Linked DNA regions of Macaca fascicularis. The protein of the gene in region 2 interacts with the protein of the main gene of each other region in a pairwise test. Links are inferred from orthologs where the notes say so. Each region holds a gene or a part of one and is shown on either strand. Other genes may lie near its edges. The genes, in order: NRM, TRIM59 and ZDHHC22.

Region 1 (5,799 bases), on a different chromosome or scaffold from region 2:
CTCGGGGCCGGGCCCGCCCTTCCCATCTCCTGCAGCTCCTCCCTATGCTTTTGCCTTCTCATCTGGGTCTGGAGGTCCAACCTCTGCAGGCCTTTGTTTTTGCGGGTCGAGGGCAACCGCCAGGCTGTGGGGGGCCTTGTGGAGTGGGCGGCAGGAGAGGCGCTCAGAAACCAGAGGTTTTGGAAGCTCGCCCCCCTACCAGAGCTGCTGCCGGACTCTTTCTAGCTTCAACCTGTCTCCCTTGGGTCTCCGGGTCGGCTGCCGGGAAAAAGGGAATTTGAAGGAATGGGAATGGGGACCCGGCCGCTCTGGCAAAGTGGGCCGGGTCGGCGGGGGGTGGCCGAAGCCCAGCGGTTGCCAGAGGGCGTGGTGGCTGCCCAGACTCCAGTTCGGCGCTCCCAGGCTCCCTCTGGCTTTCTTTTCCAAACTCAGCCCTGCAGCTTGGGAGACACTGACAGACTGCATGCCATATGTAGAAAAATCAGGCTGACTTTTATTTTCCTGCAGAGCATCTTCCTCAGGAGAGCAGGGAGCCCCAAGTCATCGAGTTAAGAGCAGGAGAATACCCTTGACTAGGTTGGGGTCTAAGCACAGAGGCAGGGCCTAAGGAGGTGCAGAGACTAGGACCAGGAGTGGTGAGGCAAGGTGTGGGGCCTAGAGGGACAGCTATGACCATTGAACTTGCAGACCCTGGTCCAGCTTCTTGGAGTGGAAGCCGGAGGTGGAGAAGGGGACGCCTGAGGCACAGAGGCAAGTAACAGTGCCAGGGGAATGGTCAGGGCAGATCCTTTCCTTCTCAGGAGGCTGTTGAGGGCGAAAGTGTCATGCCCTAAACAGTGAGGGGACAGATGAGTTCCATACCCCGCTCTTCCTTGCTAGTGAGAAGTGGACCTTGGAGTTCAGTGGCTGAAACTCAGAATTTAGGGTGTGGAGCTGGACCCAGAGAATAAACTCTCAAGTAGTGGAAGGGGTAGCTCCTTCAGTCCATGAATTTGGGCCTCTGGCGTGAAGCAGCCATGGCCTGGATGTTAAGGATTTAGAATTCAGGGGGAGAGGAAGAACAGCGCTTGTAACCAGAGTGAGCTCCTCACTCTGCCTCCCCATCCTGGGGCCGAGAGAGCAGGTGGAGTTTTCTTTGTAGTTGGGCCCGGAGGTAGCGGAGGTCTTGCTGATCAAGCCCATGAGCCAGGCCCAGGTAGAGGGTAAGGAGGAGAGCAAGGAGGAGACGGTCCATGCCCAGGGTAGGCACCACCCACAGCACTGTCAGCAGCTCCACACACACTGGGTGGCGCAGGTGAGAGAAAAGTCTGAGAGCCCGGGGAGACTTCAGGGCCAGAGGCTCGCCCAGCCCCAGCACATGGTAGTATACCTAAGAGGGAGAAGAGTTTAGAAATTGAGTCAAGCCCTTTTCTCAGCTTGGGCGCTTCTTTCCTCCTCTTCCAGGCACCAGCCTTCTAGAGCTCAGGCCCAGGAACCCCTCTTCTGAGACTTGGATCCCTGATCCTGACTTATGATCCATGTACCTTCCCCAGGCCCAGGAGGCCCATGGTTGCTGTCCTTCTGAGGGAAGGGTCATGAGGGAGAATCAAGGAGACAGTAGAAGAGCATGGGAGGAGGGAAACCCTTGAAAGGGAAAGAGTAGTTCTAAAACGGGTCAGAGGTCGTAGGTAGGGATCTCAGAGCCTCACCTGTTTGAGGCCCATGAGCTCAGCATAGTCAAAGACGAGAAGGATGCTGAAGATGAGAAGCCAGGAGATGACATGGAGCACAAAGCACAGGAGGGGCACCCAGGTGGCCCATGGCTCAGCCTGAGCTTCCCACAACACGGGGCCTCGGGGTACGGGCTCCCAGTACCGCATCACCAGCTGTGGAAGGATAAGGGGCTTCGTATCCCAGTGCCCTACCCTGCCCGACCTTGGGAGACCCGGATCCAGAGCTGCCCCCACCACAGGCTAGCCTGCAACTCTCCCCCACCTCTCACCTAAGCATCACCACCAAATATTCACCATGTGGAGGGTGCATGCTGGGTGAGGTCCCAAAGATGTAAGGATGGCCTGTCTCCACCCTGAGAATTTACAGAACAGATGGGGTGACCTGATAGCTACACAAAGTAGTAGCCTATGCCAACCACCCAATGAGAAGACAGACAAGGCCTCTTCAGACCTAGGGAAGTGGTTTTGAAGAAAGGGTAGGACTGAAGAGAAGGAAGGGATCTCAAGCAGGACATGAACAAAGTTGCAAAGGTGAGAATGCACGTATTGTGCTTGGGGAAGGACAAGTACACCCTTCTTGATAAAAACTAGGGTATGTGCTGTGGAGGAATGGAAGCTGAGATTAGTTCCTCAGTTCTCCTCCTGAACCCATATTTTGCCCCTCCAATCCAGGGCACCCCTCCCACACTTGGTCTCCCTTAGGGACTTCATACCTGCAAGGCCAGGGCCTCATACCTGCAAGGCCAGGGCAGTGCAGGCCACATACAGTGACCTCTGAAGGACCCCAAAGTACCGGGATGTCCATGCCTTCACTCTTTCAGCTGCCATGAGGCTGTGCTGCCCAACAAATAGAAGTAGGAGTCCCAGATCCCATGCCAGGGGGGCAAGGATGCTGCGGTCCTGCAGGGCAGCCAGCCATCCCTGGCGGGCATCTACAGGAAGTTGAGGGAGAAAGAGACAAAAGATCGAAAAGGTGGCAAATGTTTCCCCCATCCTCATCTCCTTTTGGAGCCCCAGGCCATGTCCCTACTGCTTTCAAGAGCCTTAATGCTTCCTCTCTAGGCTGTGCCCATCTCACTTTTCCATTCCTAGTTTCTGCCCTCTTCCCTAGGCCTCCTGCAAACCTAGGGGAGAGGATTTATAGAACAATGCATGTTAGGCAGTTGCAAAAAGCATGGCTGGAGAGGCCACCGCTGGATTGCCCCTCTTATTTCGGTTCTCCAAATGCTCCTTCTTTTTAACACTCTCAACAGCCCTCTCTACAAAACATTTTACTTAGAATACTCTGGTTATCGCCCTTTTCGGCTCCCTCAGTCCTCACTCTCCCACCTCTCCAAAACTGTAATCCTTGAGTTCCTAATTTAGAACTCAGGTCTCCCTCCCCTGTAGCTTCTCGGCCGCTTTCAAGATTCGAGTTCCCTCTCTGGGACTTCCCCTGTCATTTGTTTCCAAGCCCCGCCCTCGATCCCTCTCCTACGGCTCCACCTTCCTACTCCCAGTTCATCCCCGATCCCTCCCGCTCACCCGGACCACCAGACTCCGGGATCCCTCCAAGAAGTGGCCGAAGGGAGGTAAAGCGCACGAACTCCACTCCGGTACCAAAGGCCAGGATGAAAGAGGCGAGGGCAGCAGGGACCAGGAGCAGTGCAGGGGCCATGGCGATAAATGGAGGGGTGGGGAAAGGGGCGGGGTCGGGATTCCCGCTGCCTCAGGCCCCGCCCCTGCCCCGCCCCCGCCCGAATCCAGCCCAGGAAGGCGGGGCTCCTGCACGCCACCGCCCGGCTTCCGGCCCGCCGGGCGCAGCCTTCCCCACCCAGCTGTGGATCCGTCCCGGGATGCGTGTCCCAGCCTGCGGTCTCTCCGTCACGGAAGGGAATGTTAGAATCCCGAGAGAGAGCTGTTAAGGGTAGCGGCTCTGCAGCCGCTTACGTGGGTTAAATCTCAGCTCGTCTAGTTTAACCATCCAAAATTAAAAGTTACTATTTTACCACAAAATACATTAATGTATGGAATACATTGTACAGAATACACTGTACAGAATAAATTCTGTAACTTACTATAAAGTTGAGTTGTTGATTGGCTAGTTGCTAAGAAGGGCAAATAACTTCTCTGTAAATACTGAAAGGTTTGTTGTAATAGTGCCAGAGATTGTTGATTTGTAACCACGAGAGTAAAAATGTTAAAATGTTTGTGATAGTAACCTTTGTCAGAATTAAAGATCATGCAGCTAAGGACCTTGTCGCAGTAGCTGTGCACATAGTAGGGACCTTAGATATCATTAGACTAATTCCATCAACTTATAGATAGAATAAACAGGTCCAGAGAGATAATTGCCTGTTAGGAAGCTGCTAATCCTGTAGGCTAAGGGACCAGAAAACTGCTGAGCAGCCTCTCGCAGGCTTTACATTCCTTCTCCCTCTCCTGGGCTCAGTACTCCCACCCTCCTCTGAATGAATGCTGTTGTATGCTGTACCAGACATCTTATGTTTTCCCTTGAATTCAGTCTCCACCCTGCTTTCTGCTTCAGGAAGTTGTCCCAAATGGACGGTATCAATGAAAGTCACAGTTTTTATTGAGAAAGTCCTCTTTACACGACTGCTCCACCCTCATCTTTTTGAGCTTGGAGGTGATCACAATAGAGCTGTGGGTACTAAGGCACTGCACTATGCTTTCTGATTTCCCTACACCCTGCCTACTTCTTTGTAATTATCATTTTATTAAACTCTTCCCCAAATTATCCTAATTTGACTGTGCTATTCATTTCCTGCTAGGACCACAAATAGAGACACTTACCACACAAAGCAATGTGCTACAAGCTGTGGGGTTCATTGGAAGTGTAAGAGGCCAGACGCAGTGGCTTACACCTGTAATCCCAGCACTTTGGAATCGCTTGAACCCGGGAGGTGGGAGTTGTGATAAGCTGAGATCTCGCCACTGGACTCCAGCCTGGGTGACAGAGTAAAACTCTGTCTCAAACAAAAAAAAAAAAAAAAAAAGGAGGCTGGATGCAGTGGCTCACGCCTGTAATTCCAGCACTATGGGAGGCCTAGGCGGGTGGATTACAAGGTCAGGGGTTCGAGACCAGCCTGACAAACATGGTGAAACCCTGTCTCTACTAAAAATACAAAAATTAACTGGGTGTGGTGGCACACGCCTGTAGTCCCAGCTACATGGGAGGCTGAAGCAGGAGAATTGCTTGAACCTGGGAGGCAGAGGTTGCAGTAAGCCGAGATCACGCCACTGCACTCCAGCCTGGGCAACAGAGCAAGACTCCATCTTAATAACAATGAAAAAAAAGGAGCCAGGCATGGTGGCTCATGCCTGTAATCCCAGCACTGTGGGAAGCCGAGGCGGGTGGATCACCTGAGGTTGACTAGCCTGACCAACATGGAGAAACCCTGTCTCTACTAAAAATACAAAATTAGCCCGGCGTGGTGGTGCATGCCTGTAATCCCAGCTACTCAGGAGGCTGAGGCAGGAGAATCGCTAGAACCTGAGAGGCGGAGGCTGCAGTGAGCCGAGATCACGTCATTGCAACCCAGCCTGGGCAACAACAGTGAAACTCTGTATCAAAAAAATAAAAAAAAAAGGGAAAGAAAGAAATCAGGGCCTCAGGGACATGGACAATTTAAGAGTATGAAAGCTTTGAGTTGTGCAAGGGGACTAATATTTATCTGGGTCATACTGTCTGCCACCCCCACAATGGCTGTGCTTAATGTATATTATGAGATTAGATATGTTTAATAGCCAGCACAATGCTTGGCAAATCTCATGCTGTTTCTACTACACCAAAGTTTTCCAAACTTAAGTATTACTTACATGCAGAAAAGTGTACACAAGTAATCAATTATTTTTTTTTTTTTTCTTTTCTTTTCTTTTTTTTTTTTGAGACGGAGTCTCACTCTGTCGCCCAGGCTGGAGTGCAGTGGCCGGATCTTAGCTCACTGCAAGCTCCGCCTCCCGGGTTTAAGCCAGTCTCCTGCCTCAGCCTCGCGAGTAGGTGGGACTATAGGCGCCCGCCGCCTCGCCCGGCTAGTTTTTTGTGTTTTTTAGTAGAGACGGGGTTTCACCAGGTTAGCCAGGATGG
Region 2 (5,569 bases):
TGGAATTACACACATGGGCCACCACGCCTGTCCCACATGTTGTTGTGACAGGAAATTATAAAGATGTCTATCAGGATGACTCCAATGTTTAAACAGAAAATGTACATCAAGTCAAAACGAATATTTACCACCATGAAACAGTAGCTATCACTACAATTCACACTTCATAAGCAACCTTTTTAGGAGCTGAATTGGTGAAGCTATCTGAGATTGACTAAGGCCTCATTAATATTGCCTTACTTTCTGCTTTGTATCTTTAATATTTTCTGTAATTTACTGAATAAAAGCCTAGCACCTGAATGTACTGCAATATAAATATACAGTATATAGAGCCCATAGATTTTTTTTTTTCCTGGAATGCAGAGGTGCCATCTTGGCTCACTGCAACCTCTGCCTCCCAGGTTCAAGCGATTCTCCTGCCCCAGCCTCCAGACTAGCTGGGATTACAGGTGCCTGCCACCACGCCTGGCTAATTTTTTGTATTTTTAGTAGAGACGGGGTTTCACTATGTTGGCCAGTCTGGTCTTGAACTCCTGACCTCAGGTGATCCACCTGTCTTGGCCTCCCGAAAGTGCTGGGATTACGGGCGTGAGCCACTGCACCCGGTCTAGAGCCCGTATCTTTATTTAGCACATTAGTAAACAAAATGACTTTAGTTATCAGAAGTTAAGTAATTCAAACTTAAAGCTGTTGGAACTTTATTCTGAGCCTTGAGAGGAATGTGGCTACAGCCTGAGCCAAGCAGCAGGCATCTGCACCGTCTGCCTTTTGTTTCTGTAAATAATTAAAATCGGAGGAGCAAACCATACCAGAGATACAACCCCCTGAGATCACTACCCGTCCTCACGGAGTAACGAAGTACTCTTTCTTGGAATGTAGCAATCTGTAACCTACCAAATAGCTGTAAGTATGTACTGGTCTCTTACGGAAAATGAAATCCTGCTAAAATTTGTCTCTGGCCACCTAGGTGAAACCTTAACTTCTTCACTTTGGAATGCTGACCCCATTTGGAGCTGGTGTCTCCTGGGTGGCTACCCTCAAGCCTTACGCTGGAATAAACTCTTATCCTTAATCATATTTCCTGAACCTATTTAAGGTCGACAGGAGAGGGAAGCGGAGATGTCTTGAGATAAAGCTGAATAAAGTTTCTCAAGAAAAAAGGGAAAGGGACCTCTGAGCTGTAAGTTGTTTTCTAACTCTAGGGAGTTAGAGGTGAAGTAGGAACTTGAAGTTGGAAGTGCTGAGTTGGACAGCCCTCATCTCTAGGCAATACTTTAGTAAAGTGGAAAAACGGGAGAAGACGACGAAGGCTAGGGAGAGATGCACCCAACCCAGTCCCGGGTTTCCCACTCGCTCTCGGAGTTGGGTACAAAGAGTGTTCCAAAACCCCTTCTCCTGTGCTCAGCCCAGTGCTCCGGTGGGTCAGGTCTCCGGAACGCGTAAACAAAAGCAAACAGCTGAGCGGCGGAGGGCGCTGGCGACAGGTGTGGGTGTGCCCTGAGGATGCGTGGCGACTTCCCGGAGCAGCGGGTCTGTGAGGCAACGATGGAAGACACTGCATTCCACAGCATAGCAGCACGCCCTGCCCTGAATGGCTCCAAGTAAAAGACAGTTCCCCAGAAGCCGTCGGCCGCCGGCGATTCGCCTCCTCCCGCGCCAGACCCCGCCTCTCCCCCAGACTACCGGTGCCATCCAGATGCCCCAGGCGGGACCCCAGCTCACGAAGCCCACTGGCCGAAGCTCCCCACAGGCTAGAGAGCCGCTCCTTCGAGGCCAAACGTCCGAGAGGCGGCCTGCGCCTAGCACGCAGGCGTGGAAAGCTAGGCGCCAGCCTCGATCTGACCGCCGCCACCTGCCTCGGGCCGCGCCTTCCGCCGTTTACTTTCGAACGAGCCCAGCAATAGTTCCCATTGGCCGATGCCGCGCAGTTGAAAGCTGCCTGCAGACTGCGCCTGCGCCGCGAGGCTCCGGGCGGCCCCGCCCGGCCTGGGCACCTGAAGCCCTTCGGGGCGGAGGAGGGCGGGGACTCGGGGCGACTCTCAGCATCAGCCAGGAGCCGGTGGCTCTCTGTTTCGGCGCTGTGGAGTCGCCTACTCCGCCTCCTCCCCGCGGTGAGTCTAAGGACCTTTACGGATCCGAGAAGGTGGCTCTGAGTCCTTTTTCTTTTCCTGTAGCACAGGCTGGTGTTCCAGTGTGTTTGCTGGGGAGTCCTGGGGGCGTGACGATGGAGGGAGTGGCTTGGGACCTGCATTCATTCCTACTTGTCCCACACTGGAGTTTGGGGAACCATTCTCCCGTCTCTCCACTGTGGAGCTGCGTTCCTGTGAGGGAGGAGGCGCTCTGTGGTGGCCAGGGTGAGCTGGGCCAGGCCGAGTCGGTCAGCCCCGCGGGGCTTGGGGTCGGGCCCTTGCGGAGGCGGAGGCGCTTTAGGAGGGAGGCCTGGGAGAGTGGAGCTTTCAGAGGGGGAGGGGAAGAGTACTGCCATTTTGAGCCCCTTTGTGGGAGGTGCTCGTAGGACTTAGGTGGGATAGGTGCAGTTACCCATTTTACAGATGTGAAGCCTCACTTTTGAGAGGTATTTGATAATACTGACTCAGGTACCACAGCATTGAAATGGCAGAACAGAGAGATGAGCAAACTATACTAAATCAGTTACAATTTTGAGCTGGCAAAGTATTTTACTCCCATGGATGCTTTTGTCTTGCAGTTAATTTTAAGCACTCTAAATGACCTTGTGAATGTTTTTTCTGCCATCGCCGTTGGTGGGTCATATTGTCGAGAGCTCATAAGCTACTTGACGTTGTAAAGAGGTCCTTTGTGACCATCTGTTTGGTCAGAGTTCGGATTTTCAAGGAACAAGCGATACCTCTACTGCAGCTCCAGCAACTGTGTTGGTGTTTGTGACTTTTAGGAAAACACAGTGAAGCATAGTGAAGATAAACATCAAAGACAGTGAACTAACAACCATTTTAATGACATGAGACAATAAATTGAAAGCATTAAGGATAACATTATTTTAATTTTAGAATAAGAATAAAAGATTCTGGAGGAGTTGGAGAGAGTGTATTCAGTCCCCAAACCAGGAGATCAACAAAGTAGGTAAGTTCTGGGAGATTAAGTAAATATGAAAAACATTTTAACTGAGTTTTTACAGAGTGTATCATTTAAACTATAAAGTGAAATTTAGAAGTCTTTTGAAAAAACATTATGTTGATGGTGTATCAAATTCCAACCATCTTACCGAAGGAGCGGAGCATAAAGTGAAAAATAAACAGCTTCCTTTTCCGATCTGTACCTTAAAGGTAGTCACTCAACTCTTTCGTACATCCTTCTAGAAATTTTACAAGAATGTGTACATCTCAAAACACATGCAAAGCTGTTATTTTAGACATACAGATCTGCAGAACTACACAAAACTGCAAATTAAGTTACCTGGATACTTCTTCACTATGCATTCATATATTGGTCTTTTTAAATGAGTAAGTAGCTATTTAATCTGGCAAGGTGAAATTTTGATTTTAGGTAATGTTAGTTTTGACATTGCCTTTCACCAAACACGTTGATGAATATTTCCCACCAGATATATTTTTACTTTGAAAAGTATAACAAAAGTAATTAAAGCCTTAACTTCTCAAGTCAGTTCCTGGTTAAATTGAATTAATAGTCTTTTTTTGTTTTGTTTTTAGTTTTTTTATTTTTTAGTTTAGGAAAACAGGTTGATATCAAAATGAAATAAAATAGTACAGATGGACAAAGAGAGTTAAAATCAGCTGACCATAGGATTTTTTTTTTAATTTGAAAAAGTTAAGGTGATCTCTCATTATTTTTGTATATTTATATGTGGCAGAATTATTTTTAAAAATCTTCTCAAACTTTCCGCAACAGTGTTAAAAAAAAAAATCTTATATGTGTATATAAATGATGAAGTTGTAGTTATTTCTTAAGTAAGTCTTCGATTGCATGAAATGTATTTCTTCTTTATCAGTTAGGGCCACAAAGATGTGAGCCCCAATTTGGGTGGTGGCACCACTTGAATTTTTCTATACTTAAAGCTGACTCACTAGAAGTCATGGGGCAAGTCATCGAATTCTATAATGTAGTAAAAATATTTTCGTTTCAGAGGCTGTGAAATGTAATGAATGTTTTACAACTGTTCATGTTTAGAGTTGAAAGGCAGGAAAGCATTAGTGAATTAAAGCTTAAAAACTGGTTTACACAAGAGAATGGGTAATAATATTTTTGGTGCTATTTTATCATCTGTTATACTATCTATTACCTAATATGCCAGTTAGACATCAGGGAGGCTCCCTAGTGAATTGGTCCTCTGGAGAAAGACTTAATAAAAAGTGTGGAAATTCAGAAATGTATTTGTTTTGACACTTAAACACAAGACGTTAGTGAAATAATTTGTCAGTAGAGTGATTTAGCCTCAGATTTCTTTCTGAGAAGATTCATTTTTTCATATTTATATTTCTTGGTGACTTTTAAAAGAGAAGCAGGAAATCTTGAGGTATTGGTTTCTACATGAGCTTAGTACTCACTAGAGGAAAATACATTTTACATGGATTATTTTACTTTTTTGCTTTTTAAAAACATACAGTAGTATAAATTGATTCAAATTCATTTAGCAAAAGAAAGACTGGATAATAGGCAAGACACTTGAACATTTTTTTTAATTGTGTAAAATATACTAAACATAAAATTTACCATTTTAATATTTTTAAGTATACAGTTTGGTGGTATTAAATACATTCAGATTGTTTTGTAATTATCACCACCAACTATCTCCGTAACTTTTTCATCTTCCCAAACTGAAACTGTGTACCCATTAAACCAGCAGTCCTCAACATTTTTGGTACCAGGGACCAGTCTCGAGGAAGACAATTTTTCCATGGACAGGTGCGGGTGGGTGGTACATGGTTTTGGGATAAAACTGTTCTACCGCACATCATCAGGCATTAGATTCTCACAATGAGCTACAACCTAGTTCCCTCGCGTGCGCAGTTCACGGTAGGGTTCACACTCTTATGAGAATCTAATGCTGCCACTGATCTGGCAGGAGGCTTTGCTCAGGCGGGCTTGCCGGCCGCCATGGCGGGGGTGCAGGGTGGGTAGGGAGGGTTGGGGACCCTTGCATTAAATAAATGATAACTCTACGTCTTCCCTGCTCTCAAGCCCTGGCAACTACCATTCTACTTTCTGTCTTTGAGGACTGCTTATTGGTTTTAATATTATATATGCTTTTTTCACATATCATGTGAATGTAAATTTTTTTTCCATTGAACTAATTGAGTGAATTATATTAATAGATTTTTTGTTATTGAATTAACTTTATATTTCTGGGAAGAACCTTATTTAGTCATGGTGCAGTGTTTTTTAAAATGTACTCCTGTATTTGTTTTTGCTAACATTATATTTAGAATTTTACATAAGTGTCCATTTTTGAAATTAGTCCATTTTTAGTTTGTATTGTCTCAAGTTTTGGAATCATGTTATACTGTCTTCAAAACATTTAGCAAACTTTTCATATTTGTATTCTGGAACAGTTGAGTAGGGCCTAGTCCACACT
Region 3 (5,550 bases), on a different chromosome or scaffold from region 2:
GAAAAACAAAATGACATTTGCCGTGCTTCCCTTCACTCCATTCCTTAAGGGGAGCTGAGGAACCACTAGCTTTAGATCTGAAGCTTTAATGTCCTTTTCTGCTGATAAATGATATTTCTAAATAAATAATCGTCCTTGTCCGTTTGTGTTTCCACGACCAGATCTCCTTTTCCTGACTGAATACTCCCTTCCCCCACTAACATCTTCCCACGTTCGCTTAGCTTCTTTCTCTCTTTCCTTTTCCTCATACACACAAATTCAGACACACACCTTCCCACCTCACACCCATATGCAAAATAAAATTAGAAATACCACCCGACTCACAAGGTATTTGGGGAATGGAGATCTTCAGTCAGTATAGCCAAATCCAGGCACCCCAGGCTCCCTCCCTGCCAAGCCCATGTGAGAGGCAGACAGTGCTTGTGAAAAGGGGCCCAGACAGCCACAATTATGAGACAAAGCTGCTCTGAAGGAAAAAGGGCCATGTGTGCCTCCCCGTGTCTGTCCTGTGGCCACTGGAACTCACAGGGCTACCAGCTGCTCACGGCCACCATGTGGCATACTGTTCTTTCACTTACATGTCAGATGCTTTTAGAACGCGAAAAGGTTTCCTGGCCTCTTTTTTATTTTGATGTATGCTGATAAATTACAGAGGAGCAGTGTCTGGTTATTCGAGAATAGAGGCTGAGCTGATTAGCATATGGCCCTCATTTCAAGGGATTGCTCTTGTTTTAATCAGCCAGTTGAGAAAGTAATAAATATTTATTTATTAAGTATGCCATCACCCAGAGGAGAGGAACAGGGCAGGTAGGTGAGCTACGACACCCAGGAAATTGAGGATGGTGATGGCACCAATATTCCTGCAGTGTTTGATGTTTTTAAGGCTCTGCTCCCCCCGCCCCCCACTATTTGATACACACTGGTGTGACTACCCTCTTGGTGCATCACGGTACCCACCTTAGAATAGCGGAGCCCTGGAAGGGGAAGGAAATAGAAATAGGAAGGTGGGGGTAGGGCCCGAAGAAGCAGCTCCAAGTTCAAGCTCTGTGTCTGGATAAACTCCCATTGTCTTTCCTTCTCCCAAATCAGAGCTGCCCATGGGTCCCATGGTGATGCTGGGTTGTGTGGAGGCCGAGGGCAGGAGCATTAACGCTAGAACAAAGTTCAAGTCCAGGCTCTGTCACTTAATGGCTGTATGACCTTAGACATGCGACTTAGCTTCTCTGAGCCTCAACCTCCTCATCCCCAGAATGGGGCTCAGCCAGCTTCGTAGATCAGGCTGAGAGGATTAAGGAAGCGTCTTATGCTAAAGGCTTAGTGCAGTGCCTGCTACCTAGCAGGGGTGCGATAAGTAGTGTCTCTAATTATGATCTAATCAAGCAGTGCTTGCCCTGGGCAGGCCCTGTTTAAGAGTTATACATAGATTTTCATTTAACCCTCACATCTCTGTTTTACAGATGAGGAAACTGGAATCTAAGATTACACTGGAATTTACAGACGAAGAAACTGGAATCTGAGATCTCACAGTAGTGAATGGTGAATATTCAAACCCAGGTAGACAGGCTCCAGAGTCCCAACTCCCAATCCTCTGTACACAGCCCTTTCGAGGAGATGACGCTGGTCTTCACGGGTGTTGCCCTGGCAAGCCGACCTCTCAAACCCCCAGGGTTCCTTCAGTCCGAGTGGAGAGCAGGGAAGGTCGTGGGACATAGCTGAGAGGGAAAGGCAGGATGATGGCTTGAGAATCCACATCAGGGCTGAATCCCAATCTCCCAGCTGGAACGGGCAGCTGAAACCAGGCAGAGCGCCCCAGCCCGCTCAAGGGGAATCGAGGGGGGAGGAGGGGGCAAGTCCACAATGCTGAGACTGGCGGCCAGAGCACCGCCCCCAGGAGCGGAGGGAGGGGTGGCGGGGCTGGGGGGTGCCCAGTTGCCGTCCCCGCCGCTTCCTTGCCCCTACTCGCTGGCGCCCAAGTGGGAAAACAGCAGCTGCCCGCTCCCTCCTCCCCACATCCCCGCTACCTGCCCAGTTCCCGAAGCGAAGCGCAGGCTGCGAGCCAGCCGGGCCGAGCCCACAACTTTGCAGCCTCGGGCAGGGCGAGAGCCGGCGTCCGGGGCTCCTCTTCTCGGCGACCAGAGCTCGGTGAGTTCATTTCCTCACCCCTCTGCGGCGGCGGCAGTGCGGCGGCGGAGGCGCGGGGGGCGGCTTCCCTTGCGTCCGGGAGGCAGTGGCCGAGAAGCCCGCGGCCGCCGGCGCTGCCGGTCTTTCTAAGGCTCTGGCTGTGCCGCCCTCTGCCGCGGACGAGGCGGGCGCCAGTGCTCAACGGACAGCTCCCTGAGCCCCGGGGCCCCACGGGCGGTCTCTGCTGCCCCTTCTCCCGCACAGGGCCCGGGCTGAGACTGCCCACCGAGCGCCCCTCACTCCCCTAGCCCCTGTCCTTCGCCGCCTTCCCAGCGCTGCGGCGCATCTGGCTGCTCCCGCGCCCCCCTGGCGACCGGCGCGGGGAAGGCACTTGCTTCGCCGGAGCCCCAGGCCAAGGGCTCTCCGGGGCGGGCAGCGCCGCCGCAGCCCCCGGCGGCGCATGACTGGGGGCGGTGCCCAGCCCCCCGCGACCACCCTCTGGCTTGCACTGCGCTGCGCCCCAGCGGCAGGGAGAGGCCCACGCTCTCCGCGGAGGCTGCGGGTTCCCGGGGGGCGCTGGGACCTGCAAAGGGGATTCCAAGGTGACCAGTCGCCCCGTCCTGACGGGACAGCCTGGACGGAGGCCCCGTGGCATCCGCCCATCCTAGGTGCAACCGCCTTCCCAGAACTTTTCTCGCGCCTCCGGCTGGCCAATTCCTTAGCCTCTGGAAAAGTTCTCTCGGGCGCACGGAATCCTATTTCTCGGTGGCTTCCGAAGCTGGCCAGGAATCCCGGCTGTGAGGCGTGGAGTGGGATGGGGACGCTGCAAGGGCTGCGCACGGCGGCGGGGTCGATCCCAGGAAAGGCCGGCCAAGCATCCACTCGTGCGCCCAGGGCGTGCTTGTCAGCATGGAAAGGATTTCGGCGCCATGAGGGTTGTTTGGGTTTCTCTCACCAGGAGGGCGGGAGGCGGGCGCGAAAAGGGGATTTTAATTTCGCCTCAAATGAAAACGCTCTTTGCAAAGAAACAGCCCGGGCAGCCAGCGTTGGAGAGATGTGCTGGCCAGGACCCGCTGACACAGGTATTCTGGCTGCGTCCCCACCCCACCCGGCGCCCGAGAGCGAGTGTGAGTGTATCGGTTGTTTTAATTGATTTTTTTAAGCTAGGTGGCAGAGGCTGCGTGTCTGTACACGCAGATACATACATACACAAATACAGATACTCAAGCGCACACAGATTACACGTACAGAGTCACAGACAAGGACACACACACACATCGTGGTCCCGCACGCACACATACCTCCAAAGAGCCTTGGGTAACCGGTGAGGTCCCTGAGTGCTGCCCAAGATGTGTGTGTGGGTGGGGGCGCAGGGAAGGAGAAAGGGAAGTGTGAAGCAGGATTTCCAGCAGCTCAAATGCCGCTGATACCTCTGCCCCCAATCCCAAATCCTTCCCTTTCTCCTCCTAGGGAGGTCTGAACCAGAAATCCCAAACCTGGGCTTGTTTCCACAGCCACAGAGGGGAGGAGTCCTATCCCCCAGCGCCCCCCACCCTCACAACTTGTATTGCTGTGCCTGACTCTACCGCGCCAAGGCGCCGAGCTCGCTCAAAACCCCAGGCAACACTCACCCCCAGGAAGGGCCTAGACCCGAGGCCGCTGCGGGCTCGGGGTCTCTGGCCTGCCTGGTCCGGGGTTAGGGAACTGGGGAGGGGAAATCGGCGGGACAGGGGTTTGGGGGCGTGGAGTCGCGTGCAGAGCCCCAGAGGCGCGGCACGGAGGAGCGCGCGAGGGCGCCCCCTGGACGCCGCAGTCAGTCAGTCCTCTTCTCACCCCGGGTCCCGCAGGAATGTAATCGAGGATGCTGGCCCTGCGGCTGCTCAACGTGGTGGCCCCCGCCTACTTCTTGTGCATCTCCCTGGTGACCTTCGTGCTGCAGCTCTTCCTCTTCCTGCCCAGCATGCGCGAGGACCCCGCGGCCGCCCGGCTCTTCTCGCCGGCCCTGCTCCACGGGGCGCTCTTCCTATTCCTCTCGGCCAACGCCCTGGGCAATTACGTCCTGGTCATCCAGAACTCCCCAGACGACCTGGGCGCCTGCCAGGGGGCCTCGACCAGGAAGGTTCCGTGCCCCTCACCTAGCACCCACTTCTGCCGAGTGTGCGCCAGAGTCACCCTGAGGCACGACCATCACTGTTTCTTCACCGGCAACTGCATCGGCAGCAGGAACATGCGTAACTTCGTCTTGTTCTGCCTCTACACCTCCCTGGCCTGCCTCTACTCCATGGTGGCCGGCGTGGCCTACATCTCCGCGGTCCTTTCCATCTCCTTCGCCCACCCCCTGGCCTTCCTCACGCTCCTGCCCACCTCCATCAGCCAGTTCTTCTCCGGTGAGTGGGCCTTGGCAGGCAGGTTGGGCTCTACCCAAAGATCTCCCACCCCAAAGGTTGCCGGGCCCCAAACTCCAGCCCCAAAAGTTGCCAGATTTAGCAAATAAAAATACAGACCCTTCCATTAAATTAAAATTTCAGATAAACAACTCATAATTTTTTAGTATAATTATGTCCCAGATACTGTATGAGATACACTGAGAAAATTTGCTATTGGCTATCTGAAATGCAAATTAAGCGGACATGCTGTATTTTATTGGCCACATCTCCCCATACCCTCATCATCCTCATCCATCATGCTGTCCATATGCTCAGAGTTGTGGCATCCAGGTAATATACCTGCTCTGTGCCAGGCAGGGCTGGGTGCTGGCCATTCCTCCATGTAGCCCCATGAGGTACAACCATGCTATGACCGTCCTCTGCCTGGACCCCAGTCCTGCTTACATGTCACCCAAGGACTCTGCTCTCCAGAGGTCTCACCAACCAATTGCAGTAATATTGAACTTGTTGCCAGCCCAGCCCAGCAGGAGACTAAGCCTCGTCCTCCTGCCTATTATGTTTGACCTCACCAGCCTGTTCTCCAGCCTGTTCTCCAGCCTGCCGATGGCTCAGAGCAGAGGGAACTTGGGTGGGAGAGGCAGGCATTTTTTTTTTTTTAGACAGAGTCTCACTCCATCACCCAAGCTGGAGTGTAGTGGCGCAATCTCTGCTTACTGCAACCTCTACCTCCCAGGTTCAAGTGATTCTCTTGCCTCAACCTCCCGAGTAGCTGGGATTACAGGTGCGTGCCACCGGCTAATTTTTGTTATTTTTAATAGAGACGGTGTTTTACCATGTTGACCAGGCGGGTCTTGAACTCTTGACCTCAAGTGACCCACCCACCTCGGCCTCCCAAAGTGCTGGGATTACAGGTGTGAGCCACTGCACCTGGCTGAGGACTACACTTTAACTAGTATGCACAAGGACCACTCCCTAATATCTGGCCCTAGAAGTACTCAGCTCCTGGTGGCAGTTCTTACCACTTTATTCGGCCTTGAGACTG

The links.
Region 1: the proteins of TRIM59 (region 2) and NRM interact in binary tests that used the Homo sapiens proteins (3 or more experiments, as listed by UniProt). The two-hybrid records come from large-scale screens. The link is inferred for Macaca fascicularis from reciprocal best matches to the Homo sapiens genes TRIM59 and NRM.
Region 3: the proteins of TRIM59 (region 2) and ZDHHC22 interact in binary tests that used the Homo sapiens proteins (3 or more experiments, as listed by UniProt). The link is inferred for Macaca fascicularis from reciprocal best matches to the Homo sapiens genes TRIM59 and ZDHHC22.

What each region holds. Positions count from the first base shown.
Region 1 is NC_088378.1:141,963,097-141,968,895, reverse strand, and holds NRM (nurim), read right to left. Parts: upstream 3,386-5,799; 5' UTR 3,370-3,385; coding exon 3,237-3,369; intron 2,645-3,236; coding exon 2,448-2,644; coding exon of another isoform or gene 2,442-2,447; exon of another isoform or gene 2,426-2,441; intron 1,866-2,425; coding exon 1,689-1,865; intron 1,370-1,688; coding exon 1,088-1,369; 3' UTR 472-1,087; downstream 1-471. Other genes in the region: PPP1R18 (phostensin), read right to left, coding at 1-62.
Region 2 is NC_088376.1:63,408,932-63,414,500, reverse strand, and holds the start of TRIM59 (tripartite motif-containing protein 59), read left to right. Parts: upstream 1-1,959; 5' UTR 1,960-2,111; exon of another isoform or gene 2,112-2,143; intron 2,144-3,025; exon of another isoform or gene 3,026-3,026; 5' UTR 3,027-3,099; intron 3,100-5,569. UniProt on the Homo sapiens protein: E3 ubiquitin ligase involved in different processes such as development and immune response. Serves as a negative regulator for innate immune signaling pathways by suppressing RLR-induced activation of IRF3/7 and NF-kappa-B via interaction with adapter ECSIT.
Region 3 is NC_088381.1:145,084,051-145,089,600, reverse strand, and holds the start of ZDHHC22 (palmitoyltransferase ZDHHC22), read left to right. Parts: upstream 1-1,953; 5' UTR 1,954-3,203; exon of another isoform or gene 3,204-3,248; intron 3,249-3,968; 5' UTR 3,969-3,982; coding exon 3,983-4,508; intron 4,509-5,550. UniProt on the Homo sapiens protein: Palmitoyltransferase that could catalyze the addition of palmitate onto various protein substrates and be involved in a variety of cellular processes. Catalyzes the palmitoylation of KCNMA1, regulating localization of KCNMA1 to the plasma membrane.